Schizosaccharomyces pombe: one gene and its partners. Changing the gene in region 4 together with the main gene of any one other region gives a genetic interaction. Each region holds a gene or a part of one and is shown on either strand. Other genes may lie near its edges. The genes, in order: aga1, mpc1, fil1 and cdc37.

Region 1 (4,264 bases), 1.5 Mb from region 4:
TTATGCTATCAGTCGCTTGCTAATATTTGATTGGCTCTTCTTTCAGTAAACTAACAAAGCATTGGAGCTTTTATAAACTACGTCATTTAAGTAGGCGTGAACTAAATTATTGGACAGAATTGAGTTTCTTTCACTATGCATTGGAAATTCCTATAAATAGTCGATGAAGTCTGCGAAACAAGGGAGGTAAACAGACTTAGTGGGTATTAAAATGTTGGTCAATCTTCTGCCGTCTTGATTTAAAAGCACTTCTCTTTTACTATTGTAAGACGGAATATGCATGCAAGATCGCTTTAGTTGGTTGAATGTCTCTTTCTTTGTGTTGTGGTTTGTTCGTTTTTTTCTAATTTGGAATATTATAAGAAACGTTGTTTTCTTGCAACATTTTGAAATGGTCATTCAAAAAGCTGGATTCGGTACCACTTTTCTTTTTACCTTGTCTTCTAAGCTCTGTTAAATTTCTTGATGGGGTCCAGTTAAACCAACCCCCAAGTTGGTTTATGTGAGCCTTGTCTCTTTTTTGGATGAATAGTAGCTTAGATAGTGATAGTTATTATTATGACTGATGGAATCTACTTAAAAATGGATTCCATTTTTTGTCTACTGTAATTGAATTCTTTTTGGTACACTTTTTGGCTGCATTGTTATCCTTGAAAGCACTTACAATGTTTAAACTTTGCGAATGACTGAAACAGAAAAGAAATAAAACGACTGTACCTGAACTATTGTTGAAACAATATTAAAACGTATTCCTGAAACAGATTAAACTACATTAAATTTTGTTAATGAATTAAACGTGAAACTTGAAAGTTTGATGCGAAACAAAACCCGCAGTTTGTTTAAACGCTTATTTGTGATTAAAATTGATGAACCAGTTTAAACTATGAAAGTGTTTGAAAACGTGCTGAAACCATTCGTTAAACCCTGCAAACCAACATAAAAAAAATTGAAAATAAACAATAACCACAGCAAGCTAATTCAATTCCAACAATGGTATGTTGCATTGGTCTTCGGTTGTGCTGTGCTCCCTCTTTTTTTGAGCATAGTTAAAACCATTAATACTATTTAAACATTTCTCTTTAAAAAAGAGAAGAGAATAGCAACACATAGAATTTCCAAATTCAACATGCCTTCAAATTTGAAATCGCAAGGAACAGCTATTAATGAATGAAACGAGTTAAATTGAAATAAATCAAACACTATAAAGATTATTATTCTATTTCTTGCTTAAAACACACTTTAAGGAATTGAAATTTTTCACGTAAAATGTTGATGAACTGGCTTTAAATTTACATGCAAGTCTTGATTGTGAAATGATGCGTTGGAAGCATGAATTGGTATTTTCTTTTTTAAAAAAAGCAATGAAAAGTTTGAAAAAGGCAATAAAACTTGGAGGTGGTTGGACTTTGCCGATTTCACGAAGTTTTTCTTTGCTGTTTGAAACTCAACCAAATAAATTAAACAGTGGTAGCAGCCCCAATTAAACTGAAAATCTATCAGTTATATGTTCATGAATGTGTAAAAGCAGCAGAACAGACAGATCCCAGCATTTTTCCCTTCTCTTTGCACTACATTATGAGAGGGATAACTGATATTCTGTAATGTAGATCTGAGAAAACGAAGGCAAAGCTAATCCCGAATGTAAGGTTTAGGGAGCTACTTGTTTTCATCCTTTCGAACGTAAGGCTCATAAAGTATCATTAATTAAACGTAAGAATAATAAATTTCAAACAAATTAGTTGTTCGCTATACCTACTTTTGTTGTGCAGCATTCCCATCTTCTTATCAAGTTTCACTTGATAACCGCTTCGAAGATTCAGACTTCATCCTTCTTAAACCACTACCGCCATCGCATATATATATTTATATACAAAGCAAGTTTACATTATTGTAGCTTTTATTAAACTGCTCGTTCAATTCTACTAAAAAAGGGATCCACTGATTTTGTTACAAGACTGACCATTAAATTCATTGCTATGCAAACCAAAATTTTTGCACGTCTTGCTGGCATTGGTCGGGCTCGGTTTGTTGGTACGATGCCCGACAAGACCAAATTCATCAGTAAATCTGGAACGTATCCACAAGGTTTCAGCTTAAATGGTATTGCTTCCGGCGTAAAAGCCAATGGAAAAAAGGATTTAGCCATTTTATTTTCCTCTCGACCATGCAACGCCGCAGCCGTCTTTACTAAGAATGCATTTCAAGCTGCTCCAGTTCAAGTTTCACGCCAAACTCTGAACGGCTGTGGCGGTAAAGATATTCACTGTGTCGTGTTCAATAGCGGTTGCGCTAACGCTGTTACTGGTGAGGGCGGTTTGATGGATGCCCAACTCATTACCGCCGAAGCTGATAATTTGACTCGTCCACATTGGACTTCGTGGACTGAGAATTCAGAGGAATTTCCCTCGTCGTTGGTGATGTCGACTGGTGTTATTGGACAACGTTTGAAGTTAGACAAGATTCAAAGCGGTTTGGAACACGCGGTTGAAGACCTCGGGTCCACTCATGAATACTGGATGAGAGCAGCTGAGGCCATTTGCACTACGGATACTTTCCCTAAACTCGTTTCCCGTGAACTTAGTATTGCAGGCAAAGTCTACAGGATTGCAGGTTTTGCCAAGGGCGCAGGTATGATCAATCCCAACTTGGCCACTCTTTTAGGTTTGTTTGTTACAGATGCCCCAATCTCAGTTGATGCAGTCCGATCTATACTTCGTCATGCAATTAACAACAGTTTCAATTCTATCAGTATTGATGGTGATACGAGTACAAATGATACAATTGCCTTCCTTGCAAATGGAGCTGCTGGTGGATCCGAGATTACCAAGTCTTCCCCTGCATACAAGGAGATTCGTGATGCTGTAACGGATATTGCTCAACAACTTGCAAAGCTGGTTGTCCGTGACGGTGAGGGTGCTACGAAATTCGTTACTGTGCAAGTCAGAGGCGCTAGATCAGAGAAAGACGCTGCGTTGGTGGCATCAACCATTAGTAACTCTGCATTGGTGAAAACGGCATTCTTTGGTGAGGACGCTAACTGGGGTCGTATTTTGTGTGCCGTCGGTTATTCAGGTGCTGCTGTCAATCCTCCTGCTACGACCGTTAGTTTTATTCCTGCAGACGGAACTGAACCATTGAAGCTTTTAGTAAATGGTGAACCACAAAATGTCGATGAGACCCGTGCTAGCGAAATATTATCGCAAGACGAACTCACTGTAGACGTTGATCTTGGATGTGGTCCTTATGCCAAAACAAATTGGACTTGCGATTTTTCGTATGACTATGTTCGTATTAATGCTGATTATCGCAGTTAAAAAAGAACAGTGGTCAGTTACCAAATTAACCAAGAGTGAGCTCTACGCTTTGATACCAAGAAAGCTTCATGTTTTTACAGCTTTAAACTCTTCAATTCAATTTGATGAACATACACGACGTTCGTTTACAATACGTGTCTAACAGAAAAAAAGGATTGCTGAGATGCATTCATTAACAAAAAAGTATGTATAAAAAGCTTTGCTTGCTTATGGTAGAAGTTTGCAATTTTAAGCGAAAGTTCATTATGCATGTAACATCAATCATAGTATATCATAATAACATGAATCTTTTCATTCGATTGCCTGCCTTAATTGAAAGGAGTTCAAGCCAGGATTAAATAAGAAGTGCATGCTAAAAATCAGGAGGTTTGTATTCCTCAACAAATGTTTGTAGCTTATCCCCTGTAACTATTTCGTCAAAATTTTTTAATAATATACCGCATTCCCTGCCTTTTTTAATACTGGTGACTTCTTCTTTTAAGTGTTTTAGACTGTCAATTTCACCAGACCAAATAATTTTGTCATTACGTACTAAACGTATTTTATGGGATTTTTCAATAGTTCCATTAGTAACTCGACAACCAGCGACATGAACAACTGCTCTTTTAGCTTTGATGTCGAAGATTGCACTAATAATAGCTTCTCCGGTAACACGCTGAACCAATATGGGCGGTAATCGCAAAGCAAAAAGTTTCCGTACATCATCCATTAAATGATAAATAACGTTGTGAAACAACAGCTTTACATTGTGTTTTTCTGCTAAACGAAAAGTAGCTTTCGGAACGGAAACACCGAACGATATAATGATGGCATCGGATGTTTCAGCTCTCTCAATATCAGTTTCGGTTACTGGACCCACCCCAGTATACAAGACTCGAGATTTTACCTTTCCAAATTGTAATGGTTTGAGATAATCTGACAGGGCCTCCATGGACCCAGTGTCTTCACAT
Region 2 (3,621 bases), on a different chromosome or scaffold from region 4:
TTCAAGGGATGCCTGGTATAGGGCTTCTTCACGGAATTCTCGAAGCTTAGAAAGTTTATAATGGGCGCGTAACAAATTTGGCATATCAGAGTCAAGTTCTAAATCTTCACGCAACATGTCTTCTATTACATCTGTCTCCTTGACTAAATTATTTAACTGCGATATCATTTGTTTTGTTGCATAACAATTTTTGTATATCCGAGACATGCGACTGATTAACGGAAATTCATCGACCATCTCGCGTGCACTCTCACATAAAGTCAACATCTAAAAAAAAATCAACATTAGTAAAAAAGTCTTTTAGAAAATGTCAAGAAAGCTTAAGCTTCGACTTTACTCACGTTATGCAATTCCTGAAGAAGCTTCACTCTTTTCGTTTGAGCATCATGCAGTGCCAATTTCCCCAACTAAAGACGTAAGTTAGATCAATTACAATTATCGCATTAATTTAATATTTGTGCTAACCTCAACGGCTTCCACGTGCTTTTCGAGCTCCGTTTTCACATGCATATTAAGAGACGCTTGCTCGCGTTCAAATCGCTCAATATGAGTAGATAATCGATGAAAATCCTAAAATCATCAATTGTTAGCTTTCGATCTTAATTCCAAGCATCCTAACAAGGACCACTTACCTCACATTGTCTAAGAATATCCGCTACCCTGACAAAGTTAGAGTAATCGTTTCATAAATGGTATTTTGATAAATAATCCTTACTTGTTATAGACAGCATCATCCGATGCGGCAGCGGTCATTTTCTTAAAGTTATAAGCAGACCTAGTGCTTACAAACGTTTCTATTTACTGACAGATTGATTAATATATTTACGGACTGGTTGTAAAGGCAGGCAGCTTTAAAGCATTGCAATTCATTTCCGTAAAACAAATAATTCTCTCGTCAAACTTCCTTAACTAATTTAAGAAGTTTGTACAGCATAAATTTTAATATCAAATTCACACTCGTAATAAGGTGTAAGGAAAATATTCGCATTGCTCTATTTTTATAATATTTAAATGATAGATTGATAGAATAGTATAGATCTGAGCAAGGGTTTAAATGAGTATTTAGCCAAATTTTTTGTTTTTGTTATCCAAAAATAGTTAGCATACCTTTTTACAAAAATTTAAATAATTGGTCCTGTTCGAATTTACCTATAGTGTTCAAATCGTCTACGAGGCTCATTTAAGTAATAATATATACTTTGTCTCGAAATCATCCTTCTTCCCTATAATCCCAGAAATCAGTATACTTCTTAATTGACAAAAAATCAACAGGAATTTCTTTTCTTTTAACATCCAATTAATAAAGCTCATAATGTGAATTAATGGATTACGTAAAGCTTCGGTATCTGATTTCTTCAAAAAGTGAGATTTTTTCCTGATAAAGTAAAAAATATATATATAATAGATTATTTGTTATATAATCTTCCAATATTCATCAACTGATTGAGGTATAAACATTAAGAGACTGTAGCTAATCTCCGATTTTTCTGCTCCACTAATAGGATAATAAGCTAGTAATTTGAAGCCTTTGGCAAGCCAACCACAGCCTATATTATTTTTTTAAAAATGTATGTCACTAAAAAAAACAGTTTTAACATTTTTTTGTAGGAATGCATCAGAAAAGTTGAGCCAAAAGGCTGCTCAGTCGGTCACAAGAAGGTTTATTACCTGGTTGAAAAGCCCTGATTTCAGAAAATATTTATGTAGTACTCAGTAAGTAGATGGAAAGGTTTAAAGATTGCTATCTCTCGTTTTTTTTATATTATTTATGGTTTAAAAGATTTCTTTGCTAATAAGATAGCTTCTGGGGTCCGTTGTCGAATTTTGGAATTCCTATTGCTGCTATTTTGGATTTGAAAAAGGATCCCAGGCTTATTTCTGGGCGCATGACAGGTGGTATGTGTTAAAAAATAGTCATATCAATAACTTGGCCATGACAATGCGGTTTTGGGGAAGCTCTTTTAGAGATTGGAGTTAGTTTCCTTTTTTCCGCTGATCGTGGTTATCTCTGTTGTCAATGCAGTTATCGAGATGACTTTCTGTATCGTTTAAAAGTTGCTTTTTTGTTAATCTCCTTAGCACTTATTCTCTATTCCAGCGTCTTTATGCGTTATGCCTGGGTATGTTTTGAATCATCTTACTCCTTTCTCCAATATTTGATAGAACTTTTACTAACTAGCGTTTAGATGGTAAGCCCACGTAACTATTTATTACTCGGATGCCATGCCTTTAATACCACTGTTCAAACGGCACAAGGAATTCGTTTCGTCAACTTTTGGTAGTATGTGTATTGAGACTTTGTTATTCTATTGTTTACTAACGACTTATTTAATTAGTGGCAAAGAAGGTGCTTCTAAACAATCTGTTTTCGAGAACATCATGCAAGCAGCCAAACATCCTGAAAGTGGCACTCGTCAAAAGTGAAAAGGGTCAAGTATTTATTCTTTAAAATACGAGTGAACGGATAAGTCACTTGCTCTAACAAAATTGATTCGAAGGAAGGGTATAAATAAGCAAACCTGAGAAATATGTGTTATCGGTTTATTACTTGCTCTAATATAGGAAAAATTCATTTTTCCTATTTAGTTTAGGATTTGCAAATTTTGAAGTCCGTCATTATTTTGTTAATGTACATTCTTTTTTCTTTTTACAAAATGTCTTTTTCTATTTTACTGGTCCGAGACGTCGTATCCTTGTTTTTTGTGGAAGCACAACTAAATTGTTTTGATAATATCAACAATATGTTTTCAGGCAAAAGTTGTCACGTGGAACGATATTTTTATGATTGTGGCTTCTAGTATTCTGTACTTCTTAATACAAAATATTAACACTATTATATGGTAGCACCATGGCGTACTAGTTTTCTGATTTGTCGGTTACTGAATATTTATTGAATATATTGATAACGGTAAAGTCACTTTTTAAAAGAGCAAGTTCAGTTACACAATCTAGCTTTTACTAGGAAAAGTAGTTTCAATTACTTTTTTAATTAATTTTGTGTAATATTCCGATATATTAGATGTTAGGCTTAAAAGAAATCGAAAATACTAACAATTAGGGAGGTCATTAGTGAAAAAGAAAATTAAACAAAATATAAACGATCAACGGTAATACGTGATCACAAAATTGAAGGTCAAAGCATTTCATCACCAAAATTTTTAAAGTTAGGTGAACATGATCGGGAAGTTCAGAATAGCTTTCACATATTTTACACCAGAACGCCAAATGCTTGTAATTCTATTTTTATTTTATCAAAAAATGCTTCATTGACAGAGTTTGTAGACACCGTATCTGAGTATTTACGGATGGCTGTTTGTAAATCCGTAAGCAAGAATTCCAAACGTAGCAACAATAATGAAGGATCCTCTGATGATTCTTCATTGATATTTTTCCAAATTTTTTCAAGATGAGAGATGTGCTCCTTATGCACGATTTGTTGATCAATGCCGTTATCTTTTGTGTTGTTTAAGAGCTCTTTTAAAATGTTGAAATTTTTCTCAAAGTCTGCACAAACAATTTTGTCATTATCCATTGGATCTATAGAAGACCAATCGGTCTGAATTTTATTCTGATTAAACATACACAAGGAAGTTAAATCGGTTTGCTTATATAACGAATTTG
Region 3 (5,473 bases), on a different chromosome or scaffold from region 4:
AAACTTTTTTTTGTTTTCTATCTCTCCAACGATTCCAATCTCGAATCCTTACGCTTTCTTGAATGACTCCAATCTTTCAAATACTTTATCTGGTCGGGTTGTTTTATAACTGTTGAACGAATTGATGAACGATTATTTCTTTTATTTCTCTTTCATCTTCTCACCCAAGCCTATCACATTAGCGGGATTGCTGAAAAATCATGTGTTTACACTTCCACGTGCTAATTTCCTTTCATCCCAGCCCATTCCATTTATTCCACTACAAACCTTGACCATGTAAACATTGAGAAACGATTGGGTTGAAGGACAATTGGGTTCTGTTTGTATCAACAACAACAGTTTTTCCTCTAGTAACCAACGACCAACAAAATGCCTGAACATAGAACCGGTGTGAATAAGCAAAGTTGGCGAAATGAACAAAACAACGTTGCGCAAACCAATAATTGCACTTTGCTACTGTCAAGTGATGCGCAACATTCATTTACTCATCAACATCGTTATGATAAGTGTATTGCACTTTTATCAAACAAGTTTTGCAATTTAGTATGCGCATTTCAGAGAAAATTCATGCTATAGCAAACTCATGTTGAATAACAAAAATACGCACAAAGCAAGGCCCATTACTTTCTTGTAACACTCTATTTTTGGGGCCTTTACAACCCGAGAAATAGGATCAATCGATCATCCTTCACTAGCCTTGTCACTTGCCTTCCGTGTGTAATACCAACGGAACTCATTCTCCGGTAGGAATGTACTTCTGCTGCCTTCATAGTCGCTACTGCGCAGACCGAAAAAATCCGAAAATTCTTTAAATAGCGAGAGCGAGTGTATTTGCGGAAATAAGCTTAACAATTGATGATGGAACACGGAAACTAAGCTTAAACGAATACAGTCACTATCGTTATAGCGGGTCAGAAAGGTTGCAGGCAGAGAAAGTAAATGCGTTAGACTGAGTATAGAAAAGTATAGTAGACAAGGCATTTTGGACAGGCAAGGCATGTCGGACACATGTGTAATAATAAGGCATAAACAGTTTTAATTTTTAAGAGTAGAATTTATTACAAAAGGACTTTTAAGTAATTTTCTTTTTAACCAACAATAGGACTCGACATTTACAGTTAATCGAGTTTTTGTTGTGAAAAATTCCAAATCCTACTTTTTAATTACATCTTCTTTTATATTCATATTCATATTCATATTCACATCCACATTCCACTCATACATTCACATCATAACATTCATTTTATTATTTCTATAAACAATCGGTTCAAAAAGAACCATTCCTATTGTTTAACGCTTCTTTCTTTCGCTGTGTTCCTTCTTTCCCTTCTATGATCATGTAGTTTTCTCCTCAATTGATTCTAAATTGACTGAGAAATACACAACTATTTTATTATCAAGTTCAAATTGTTAATTCGCTTTTCTCCTACCTACTTACTTAGTTACCTCGTGTCTATTTGTCTCTATAGTAACCCTTTCGCCCCCATTTTATATATACACCCCCACACTTCCTATATAGCGATATCGGCGCTACTCACTTCCACAGCCGGTTGATTTTACTGCATTCCATTCTCTTTCGCTATATACTTTAATGCACTTGAACGATGGTTCATTGCGTGCTGGCCTGGGTGTTGCTTTCAAGTCTTTGCAATCTTTGATTGGCTATCTAATGTTTTTCCCACCACTTACAAAGCGACTTAGATGCGATAAGCTTTGGGGCCGATGTCACCCCGATCGTTCGATAAGCCCTCTGATAAGGCGCTGTCCCTACTATTATGCCTCCTCTCTCTACCAATCAAAAGTTGCCGTACCTGTCCATAATAGCTGCATGAATGTTGACTACGTAGTGGCTTTCTTGTCACGTTCTTCCTATTTAAGAGCTCGTTGCGCCGCCGGTTTTTTTCTTTTCCTTTTTTATTTTACCACTACACCAAACTTACTAACAACCAACAACACCACAACTACCACACAATTTTACTAGTACAGCGTTAACATCCTGATCTCGTAAATCGTCTATTACATTTATTTTAAGCTTTTAAATCTCTATTTTTTTGTCTTCTACTCCATTTAGTGTTGACATATTTTTTTTTACATACCTCAGTTTTCTAGTTACTTTTCAGATTTAATTTTTCCCAAGATGTGTTAAATTATCTATAAAGTCCTCGTTTTTTTAAGTTGATTTTACTTCCTTGTTGAAATCGAATATACTGGTTGTTTTTGTTGTTTCGGATCTTTTGTTTCCACCCCCAATATTACGTTTACAAAGCATGCTTCGTTCGTCCTCGTGTCGTCGTTAAGTCTTTTTCTCCTAAATCATTCAAAATGTTGTCTCATTGAGAATTTATCGTAGGTTGTTTTTCACCTCATTTTTTTTATCTTCTTAATTTTGCTTTAGGTTTTCTATCCCTCTACCAAAATTTTTCTCCTATCTCTTTGTTTATCGAATATCTTTTTAGTATTTTTCGGTTAATCTTTTCTACTATTGTGGTTGATTAAATAATTTTCTCTCTTATTTTAATCGTCTTCCTTTTATCTCTTTTTTATAATTCTCCAATATGATGTAACTCGCAAGTTAATTTCGTTGGAATAATCCTTTATTATTTACTCATTTCGGTCAAATATCTTTCTTTTCCTCTGGTTGTAACATTTAGAGTCTTTAGAATCTCTACATCGTTTGGTCGGGTCTATTGTTTTTTTTAACTATCCCCAAAGTGCATTATGCTTCTTATTTTTTTACAAAGTCAACATTAAACATTTATTACTTTTTGTCTGTGTGTGACTAACATATTACTCGCGTGTGATTGAATTCGGTATTATAATTTCGTTTCTCTCCCTTGTTTTTCTATTTTTTTTTATAATTATCTTTGTGTCTGTGTGTTTATAGCAAATCCAATTATTTTGTTATCATGAATTACAACGATACTACTGAATTTTGTTTCCCCTTTGGTCAGCCCTCTTTCCCTACTTCGGCTATGACTGAAGGGTCGTTTGACGGTCAATTTTCCGAATTTGACCCTACTTTCACTTCCCCCGCTGATACAGCATTATCCGATATCGCAAATCTTCCCATTGATCTTCATAAGGATGCCCTTTTCGCCAATGCGCCAGGCAAGGGAGATGTTGATTTTGATTCGGTTTCAATGTTGCAACTGCTTTCTGATTATCCCTTGGCTTTTAACTCTACGGAGAATAATCAGAAATTGCAAACCAACCCCTCTGCTCGTTGGTCTCTTCTTGACAGCATGGATTTCGACAATCAAAGGCAATGTTCTGATTTAGAGTCTGCGCAACTCGGTGATTCCGGATTGCTAAAGTCTACCATACTGTCGAACTCTCATATTGACATTGCTGCCTTGTCTTCCAGTAAGACGTCAGAACCCACACCCCCTTTCTCTTATGTACAGACTCCCTGCATCCCAACGCCAAGCTCGGCATTAATCGATACACCATTCCCTGGTGCTCTTGATTCCGAGTTTGGTTTCGATGAAAGTCAAGCCCCTCTTTTCCCTGCCTCTGATGGTGATTGTCAGCGTGCGTTTGCTTCCATATCTTATCCCACCAACTATGGATGCAAGCTAAGCAATCTGGGCTTCATGTCACCTCAGTCGCCTGTTAAAAGGGAGCTGAACGATTCCACGTCTCCCTCGAAGCTCTCCGAATCGAGCTCATCCTTGACTGGTTCGTCTTCTGCTTTGCTATCCCAATCTGAGTTCTTGGGCTCAGTTCCTAGCTTGTCCGATTCGATCGCTACCGTTGATCCATTCTTTTCGTTTGAAAGCTTTGAAACAGATGAAAAGGCTCGTTCATTACTCATGGATGCTTCACTTAAGTTGCCCCAATTTTCCACTCCTAATCTGTCCTCTAACTCTTCTTCTCTCAGTCTGAAGTCGACGTTAGCAGAGGGAATGAAAGGCTCTACACCCCTTGCTGCCGTTAAAACTGAAAAGGCTAGTAAGGCAGCACGTGTAATGAAACAAAAGAAACATCGCGAACATGTCTGTTTTAACTGTGGAGTCACTGAAACGCCTTTATGGAGACGTACATCAGATAAGCTTAACTTCTTGTGCAATGCTTGTGGTCTTTACAACAAACAGTATGGTGTTATGAGACCATTGTCTCCTAGAAACAAAGGCTCATCTAAGGCACTTGAGAATTTGGTGTGTGCCAATTGCTCTTCTACGAAAACTTCGTTGTGGCGCAAAGATCGTCACGGACAGACTGTTTGTAACGCTTGTGGTTTGTATGCCCGTCTTCATGGCCACAATCGTCCTATTGGTTTGAAGAAGAACAAAATTACCCGACGTCGTCGTGGTAAGGGCCCTGGTGGAGAAGATGGAATGTCTGACGAGGTAAAATCAGAATTCCCCGTACTCTCAAAATCCGTCACGATGGCCGAGATACTCTCTTCAAAGGGTCTTGAATCACCTCAGCTTACCAACTCTGTTTCTGTTTCGAAAATGCCGAATACCGATGCTGATGTTTCGTTGGAGCATGCAAAAATCTCTTTTGATTCGTTGGACAACTCGGTTATTGTCAAGAAGGAGGAAGAAATAGAGAATAAATTTTCGGTCTCTTGTTGAAAGACATTACTAAGAGTCTATTGATTTTTTTTTCACCTTGGTTTTTATAAACTCTTTTATTTTCTACTCTAGCTTTTGTTTATGTTTTTATTACAGCTTGCAAGTTTCAATCGTTTTGAAGACTACGCTTCGTACTGAAAGATTACTTTTGTAGCTAAAACCTATACATTTGAATACACATTTGGGATATACTTTTGATTAGATATGGCATAAAGGGTTGATGTGTGGGTTTATTGGAATTTTTTATTTTTTCATTTTTCTTGTTCTTTTTTTTTGTATCTTGCTTTTGCAACTATAAACAAAAATTTCACTTGATATTTTATTTCTAGTCTTACTGATTGAAATTAAATTGACTGATCAATTTTTAAGTGCTCTTTACATTTTAATGTTGTTGCTGTAGCTTGTAGTTTTTTTTAGTCTTGAAGTTAAGTTGTGCAAATGTTAGTTAGCGAATACGCAGTTTGTTTTAAAAGTAGATACCCGCTAAGGAGTGTGTAACAACTCAACTGCCGAATGAACTAGCCCTGAAAATGGATGGCGCTTAAGCGTACTACCCATACCTCACCGTCTGGGTTAGCTTTGAGAAGCTCAGACGAGTAGGCAGGCGTGGAGCATTTTTTTGTATGTAAGAGGCAAAGAAACTTTGTTGAAACAAGTAACGTATTAATACTCTTTGAATTAGTTTGGCTTTATTCAAAAATAGCGGTGAATTAAATAACAATAAATTATTGATGTATTGAATTTAATTAAGCACTGATAAAATGTTATAAAAGCGTGTTTGTCAATTGTTACCGATTCAGTACAGTGTAAGGACAATATAGGCATATTTGCCATTAGCCTTGCTTTTTAGCTTTACACAACGAAAATAATATAAATATTAAAACATATGAATT
Region 4 (4,603 bases):
TCCTCTTGAGATGCGTTAGATTTACCGTAAGCAATATTTTCGCCAATTGTACCAGAAAATAAAACCGGTTCTTGTCCAACTAAACCAAAATGACTGCGCCATTGATGAACATTATATGTAGAGATGTCAACTCCGTCAGCTAATATTTTCCCACTACTAGGTGCGTAAAAGCGCAAAAGGAGCTGTGAGATGGTGGATTTTCCACCGCCACTAGGTGCGACTATAGCAACATTGGTGCCTGGATGAATGTCGAAAGATAAGTTATCAAATATTGAAGCTGAAGGACGAGTTGGGTATGCAAACCCAACATTTCTGAACGAAAGTATTGCCTTTCCGACTGTGACTGGAACGGGAATCCCAACGGTTGGAGCTATCTTCGGTTTAGCATCTAAAAGTTCAAATAACCGACTAGCAGCTCCCAGACCTTTCATAATATCAGTAAAACATCCTGATAAGCCAACAATGCTTCCACCGGCATAAACGGTATACAGCAAAAATGAACTTAGCTGTCCTACAGTTATATCACCTGCAGCAACCATTCTTCCGCCTAACGCAAGAATAGCGATTACAGTTGCGTTCCCAAGGAACCCTGTTGACCCGAAGAAAATACCGCTAGCAAAAGCCTCTCGCTTTGCCAGGACAAAGAGATTTCGAATGTAATCGTTGTAACGATTTACTTCTTGTCTTTCTCCTAGAAAAGCCTGTGTAGTCCGAACATTTGCGAGTTTCTCTTCTGAAACCCTTGTTAAATCACCGAGAGCATCTTGTGTAGTCCTGGAAAGTTTCCGAACATACTCTCCATAAAAGAAAGCTCCCAATGCAATTGGGGGTACAATTAGGGACATATATCCAGTGAGTCTCATGGATACGTAGAGCATCATCCCTATTCCAGCAATTGCACTAACTGAGCTACGAAGACCATCACTTAAGTACATTGATAAAGACTTACCGACAATACTCGAATCCGTCGTAAGACGGGATATGAGATCCCCATGTTTATGAAAGTCAAAAAATGCTCCATCTAATGACATGCATTTAGCAAACAAGCGTGCTCGAAGACGACTGACAATTCTTTCACTCAGTAGACGCAAGGTGATGATTCTACCAAAGTTACAAGCTGAACCAAGGAAAAATAAACCCAACAAACCAATATAAAACGTACCAGAAGGAATTCCCATGATATGCGTGACAGAAGAATCGCCTGACGAGCCAGCGTCTAAGATTTTGCCAACAATGTAGGGAATGGACATTGTAACGCCGGAGGAAACTAAGAGAAGAGATCCAGCAATAAAAAAATTCCATCCCTGACCCCTTGCTAGTGTGAAGAGACGAAAAACATTGACTTTCTTGTTTGGTGTTTGTAATGTACCATTTGTATTTATTTTTGAGATATCCTGTGCTTGCTCATCTTTTGATGGAACTGTAGAATTATGTCGCACACACAACTTTAAAAAAGCAAGTGATCGTATAGGAAGAATAGATCTAGAAAAAGGTAACGGAAAACTATTTTTAAAAGGATATATCTTAGAACCACTTGAGGCCTTTTGAGATAACGAGTTTAGGCTCACATTAACCTGTGAAGATAACTTACTGGTACTATAATATTCTGCATTTGGCGTGGGAAGTAATAGAGTATTCGTACTTTTGTAAGCCACGTTGTTTTTCAACCAAGTCAACGGTACTAAATAGTTTGCTCGAAATATTACGCGTTTATTGTAGCAGTGAGCGAATGGTACTCTCGAAAGTCCAAAACGTATTGGATCCATCCATGAATGTGCCTTTCAAAGGAAATGAACGGAATCTTTTCGAAACGGGGTTTACACAGGCTTTTGGCAACAAAAGGTGCGCAAAGTATGTACAAATAAATTATTTAATATATACTTTTTATTAGTATTCGTTCTATCAAATTTTCTCTTCTCTACGGTATTAGTAGTTTCGATAGAATTTCCACGAAGTACTCTACATTCGCATAAGGTAGGTGCTTTGGTACATACTAAGATTTCATTTACCTTAACACAACCACTTCTCTACAACAAGTCAAATCGACGAGAATAGCAAAGACATTTGTGTCTTTTACTTTTTTTAAATTTCTTGAAATTATAATTTGCTTCGAGATGGCAATTGATTACAGCAAGTGGTAAGTTTATTGATAAGTTTGTTTTTAAGTAGGCGAATATGAAGTTAACAGAATTGACAGGGATAAGCTAGAACTTAGTGATGACAGGTATGAAATATACGGTTTGGAGAGGAAATCGGCTCTGTAAGGACAATGGTTAAATACTCTACATGATGCCTTTGATTGGAGTACAATAAAAGAAGTCGAAATGAAATTTCATTAGTAGGATGGAATAAATTCAAAAATAAAATTCAGACTCATCTTTTTATCATTTTGAAGGACATGTTGGGTTCAAAAAGGCAATCATTAATTTGCAGTTTGTATATTTGATGCCAATTGGGTTCTTTTAGCTAATAAACAACCATTGTCAAAACATTCCTTTCTTTTCCTTCTTCATTTATTTTTCGTTTTGATAAATTCATGCTAACAACATTTAGTGACATTGAAGGTTTGTTACGGGTTGTATTCATATTAAATTAACCACATGCAGTTCATCCAAATGTCGATAAAAAGTCTTTTATTAGATGGCGCCAACGTGATATCCACGAAAAACGGGCTGTTAGAAAGCAAAAAATGGAAGATATCAAAGGTGCAATGGCGATGAATCGTAGACTCTTGTCTCGCATCTCCGAAATGGAGACTGTTCTTGAGAAGGAATCTCCTTCGGATCCTTATGTTTTATTGGGTTCATTTTTAGAGGCAAAAAAGTCTGAAGATATGGATAGTGCCATTCCTGGAGGCATGTCGTATCATCATATGCTTATGTCTTTATTAAAAGTAATTAAAGATGCCGAAGACACTACCGAAGAAAAATCTATGGATGATTCGGATAAATGCTTGAGACGATTAAAGTCACACAAAGAGCGTCTTCTGAAGTTGCTAGAAGATGCACAAAAGGAGTATGATACTTTAGAGGCTGAGAGTAAAAATTACATCACTTCTGAAGACTTGCATTTGGGCTTTGATTCCACCTATGTTCAGAAAAAGGAGCCTGAAAAACCTAAAAAGACTAAAACCAAAAAGGAGACCATCCAGGTCATTGAATCTCTTAATAACCCTACACCTCCTACTGATTTTCCCGGCGCTAAAGAGCAAGCTTCTACTGGTAATGCCCCTAAAAATCCTGTCAATGAGAATGAGTCGGAAGATGAAGAAGGGTTGTCTCTTTCTGAAGATGGTAAGAAGTTTGCCAATATTGATTTTGGTGATTATTCTTCATCGGAAGAGTTTTTGAAAGAACATTTAAATATCTTGGCAGATGAGGAAGAATCTGATGCTATTCTTTTGGAAGCCTTTAATGCTGAACTAGAAGGGAAGCCGTCCTTAGCAAAACAATATGTTCATCAAGCCCTTTTGATCAGCTATTGCAGACAGCTTGGACCAAATGGTTTATCAATATTTTTTCAAAAAATTAAAGACCCAAATCACCAATCTCAGCGGCTATTTTTAGAGGATGTTCATAATACATATGTCCGAATCCATGAACGTTCTGCTGCCATCAGCAAAGAACAAGCTGAAAGCGGTGAAGGAGTAGAACAAATCCAGCTCTGTGCAGTTGATCCTAATACGAAACTTTCCATCACCATCCCGGAGGCAGGTTCTACTGATCCAGAGACACAAAAAGCTCGTGCAGCTTTTGAGTCTTTTCCTCCTAACCTCCAAAAAGCTCTTATGACCAATGATTTAGACAAGATTAATGTAGTTCTTGGAAAAATGGCAGTTGAAAATGCAGAAGAAGTTGTGGAAAAGCTCAGCAGTACTGGTATGTTGAGTATCGAAGAAGGAATCATCGACACAACGAAAGGTGAGACTATTCCTCAATTGTCTTAAATTTTTCTGCTTACGGGTGTGCTTTTAGTAAGCGAAAACACCAAAGTTACATGTTTGCCGTTGGCATTTTTAAATGGATAAACAACAATGAAATTTTATTTATTGATTTACCATACCTTGTGTGTACCGTATAATAAAATAAGTATTTAAACAATTTGTACATTTGCCATCAAAGCAACGTGGTCGCTGGGATATCTTCCTTCTAAAGGCTCCGCTTCCTTCATCTCACTGGGTAAAGGCACACGTAACAGTGCCTTTAATTTTATACCTTCAACGACTTGATTTTCGGGAGTTTGAAGTGAGGTATCACGATTCATAACAAATATGTAGTCCAAATGGCCCTGGTAAGCATGAGCCCAATTGGTAAATGCTGGATGATCAAACGTATTTTTTGCATTTTCTGGGTGAACCAGTTTATAGCCCACTGAATAAAGACTGAAAAGTACGGGATTTTGCTCGTGCTGCTGATAAAAAGAACGGTAGTGAGGTACATAGTCATTTTGTACATGCAAAATTCTCTTTTTTGGGGTAGAAGCTGTGGATTCGGGAACACTTGAGGTAGAAGAGGATTGACATTCTTCTTTGTCATCTTCATTGGAATCATTTTCTGTCTTAGTACTAGCATTTTTTTCTTCCAACTCAGATTCCCCAAATACG

Evidence for each region.
Region 1: mutations in cdc37 (region 4) and aga1 together harm fitness more than expected from each alone (negative genetic interaction), as found in Schizosaccharomyces pombe (one large-scale study listed by BioGRID).
Region 2: mutations in cdc37 (region 4) and mpc1 together harm fitness more than expected from each alone (negative genetic interaction), as found in Schizosaccharomyces pombe (one large-scale study listed by BioGRID).
Region 3: mutations in cdc37 (region 4) and fil1 together harm fitness more than expected from each alone (negative genetic interaction), as found in Schizosaccharomyces pombe (one large-scale study listed by BioGRID).

The regions. Positions count from the first base shown.
Region 1 is NC_003423.3:335,851-340,114, reverse strand, and holds aga1 (glutamate N-acetyltransferase), read left to right. Parts: upstream 1-1,834; 5' UTR 1,835-1,976; coding exon 1,977-3,314; 3' UTR 3,315-3,666; downstream 3,667-4,264. Other genes in the region: mti2 (translation initiation factor IF-2Mt), read right to left, coding at 3,667-4,264.
Region 2 is NC_003421.2:198,564-202,184, forward strand, and holds mpc1 (protein mpc1), read left to right. Parts: upstream 1-1,538; 5' UTR 1,539-1,566; coding exon 1,567-1,568; intron 1,569-1,608; coding exon 1,609-1,713; intron 1,714-1,801; coding exon 1,802-1,896; intron 1,897-2,079; coding exon 2,080-2,120; intron 2,121-2,186; coding exon 2,187-2,281; intron 2,282-2,336; coding exon 2,337-2,424; 3' UTR 2,425-3,062; downstream 3,063-3,621. Other genes in the region: sec6 (exocyst complex subunit Exo3), read right to left, coding at 1-267, 342-407, 466-570, 633-660, 716-753; mug146 (protein mug46), read right to left, coding at 3,209-3,621. UniProt on the Schizosaccharomyces pombe protein: Mediates the uptake of pyruvate into mitochondria.
Region 3 is NC_003421.2:809,749-815,221, forward strand, and holds fil1 (zf-GATA type transcription factor), read left to right. Parts: upstream 1-1,941; 5' UTR 1,942-2,906; coding exon 2,907-4,580; 3' UTR 4,581-4,960; downstream 4,961-5,473. UniProt on the Schizosaccharomyces pombe protein: Activates genes required for amino acid biosynthesis and acts as a master transcriptional regulator during amino acid starvation. Binds variations of the DNA sequence 5'-GAT[AC]GC-3'.
Region 4 is NC_003423.3:1,829,075-1,833,677, forward strand, and holds cdc37 (Hsp90 co-chaperone Cdc37), read left to right. Parts: upstream 1-2,012; 5' UTR 2,013-2,114; coding exon 2,115-2,137; intron 2,138-2,197; coding exon 2,198-2,224; intron 2,225-2,301; exon of another isoform or gene 2,302-2,553; coding exon 2,554-2,564; exon of another isoform or gene 2,565-2,606; coding exon 2,607-3,946; 3' UTR 3,947-4,056; downstream 4,057-4,603. Other genes in the region: mdl1 (peptide-transporting ATPase), read right to left, coding at 1-1,766; SPOM_SPBC9B6.11C (CCR4/nocturin family endoribonuclease), read right to left, coding at 4,093-4,603. UniProt on the Schizosaccharomyces pombe protein: Co-chaperone that binds to numerous kinases and promotes their interaction with the Hsp90 complex, resulting in stabilization and promotion of their activity.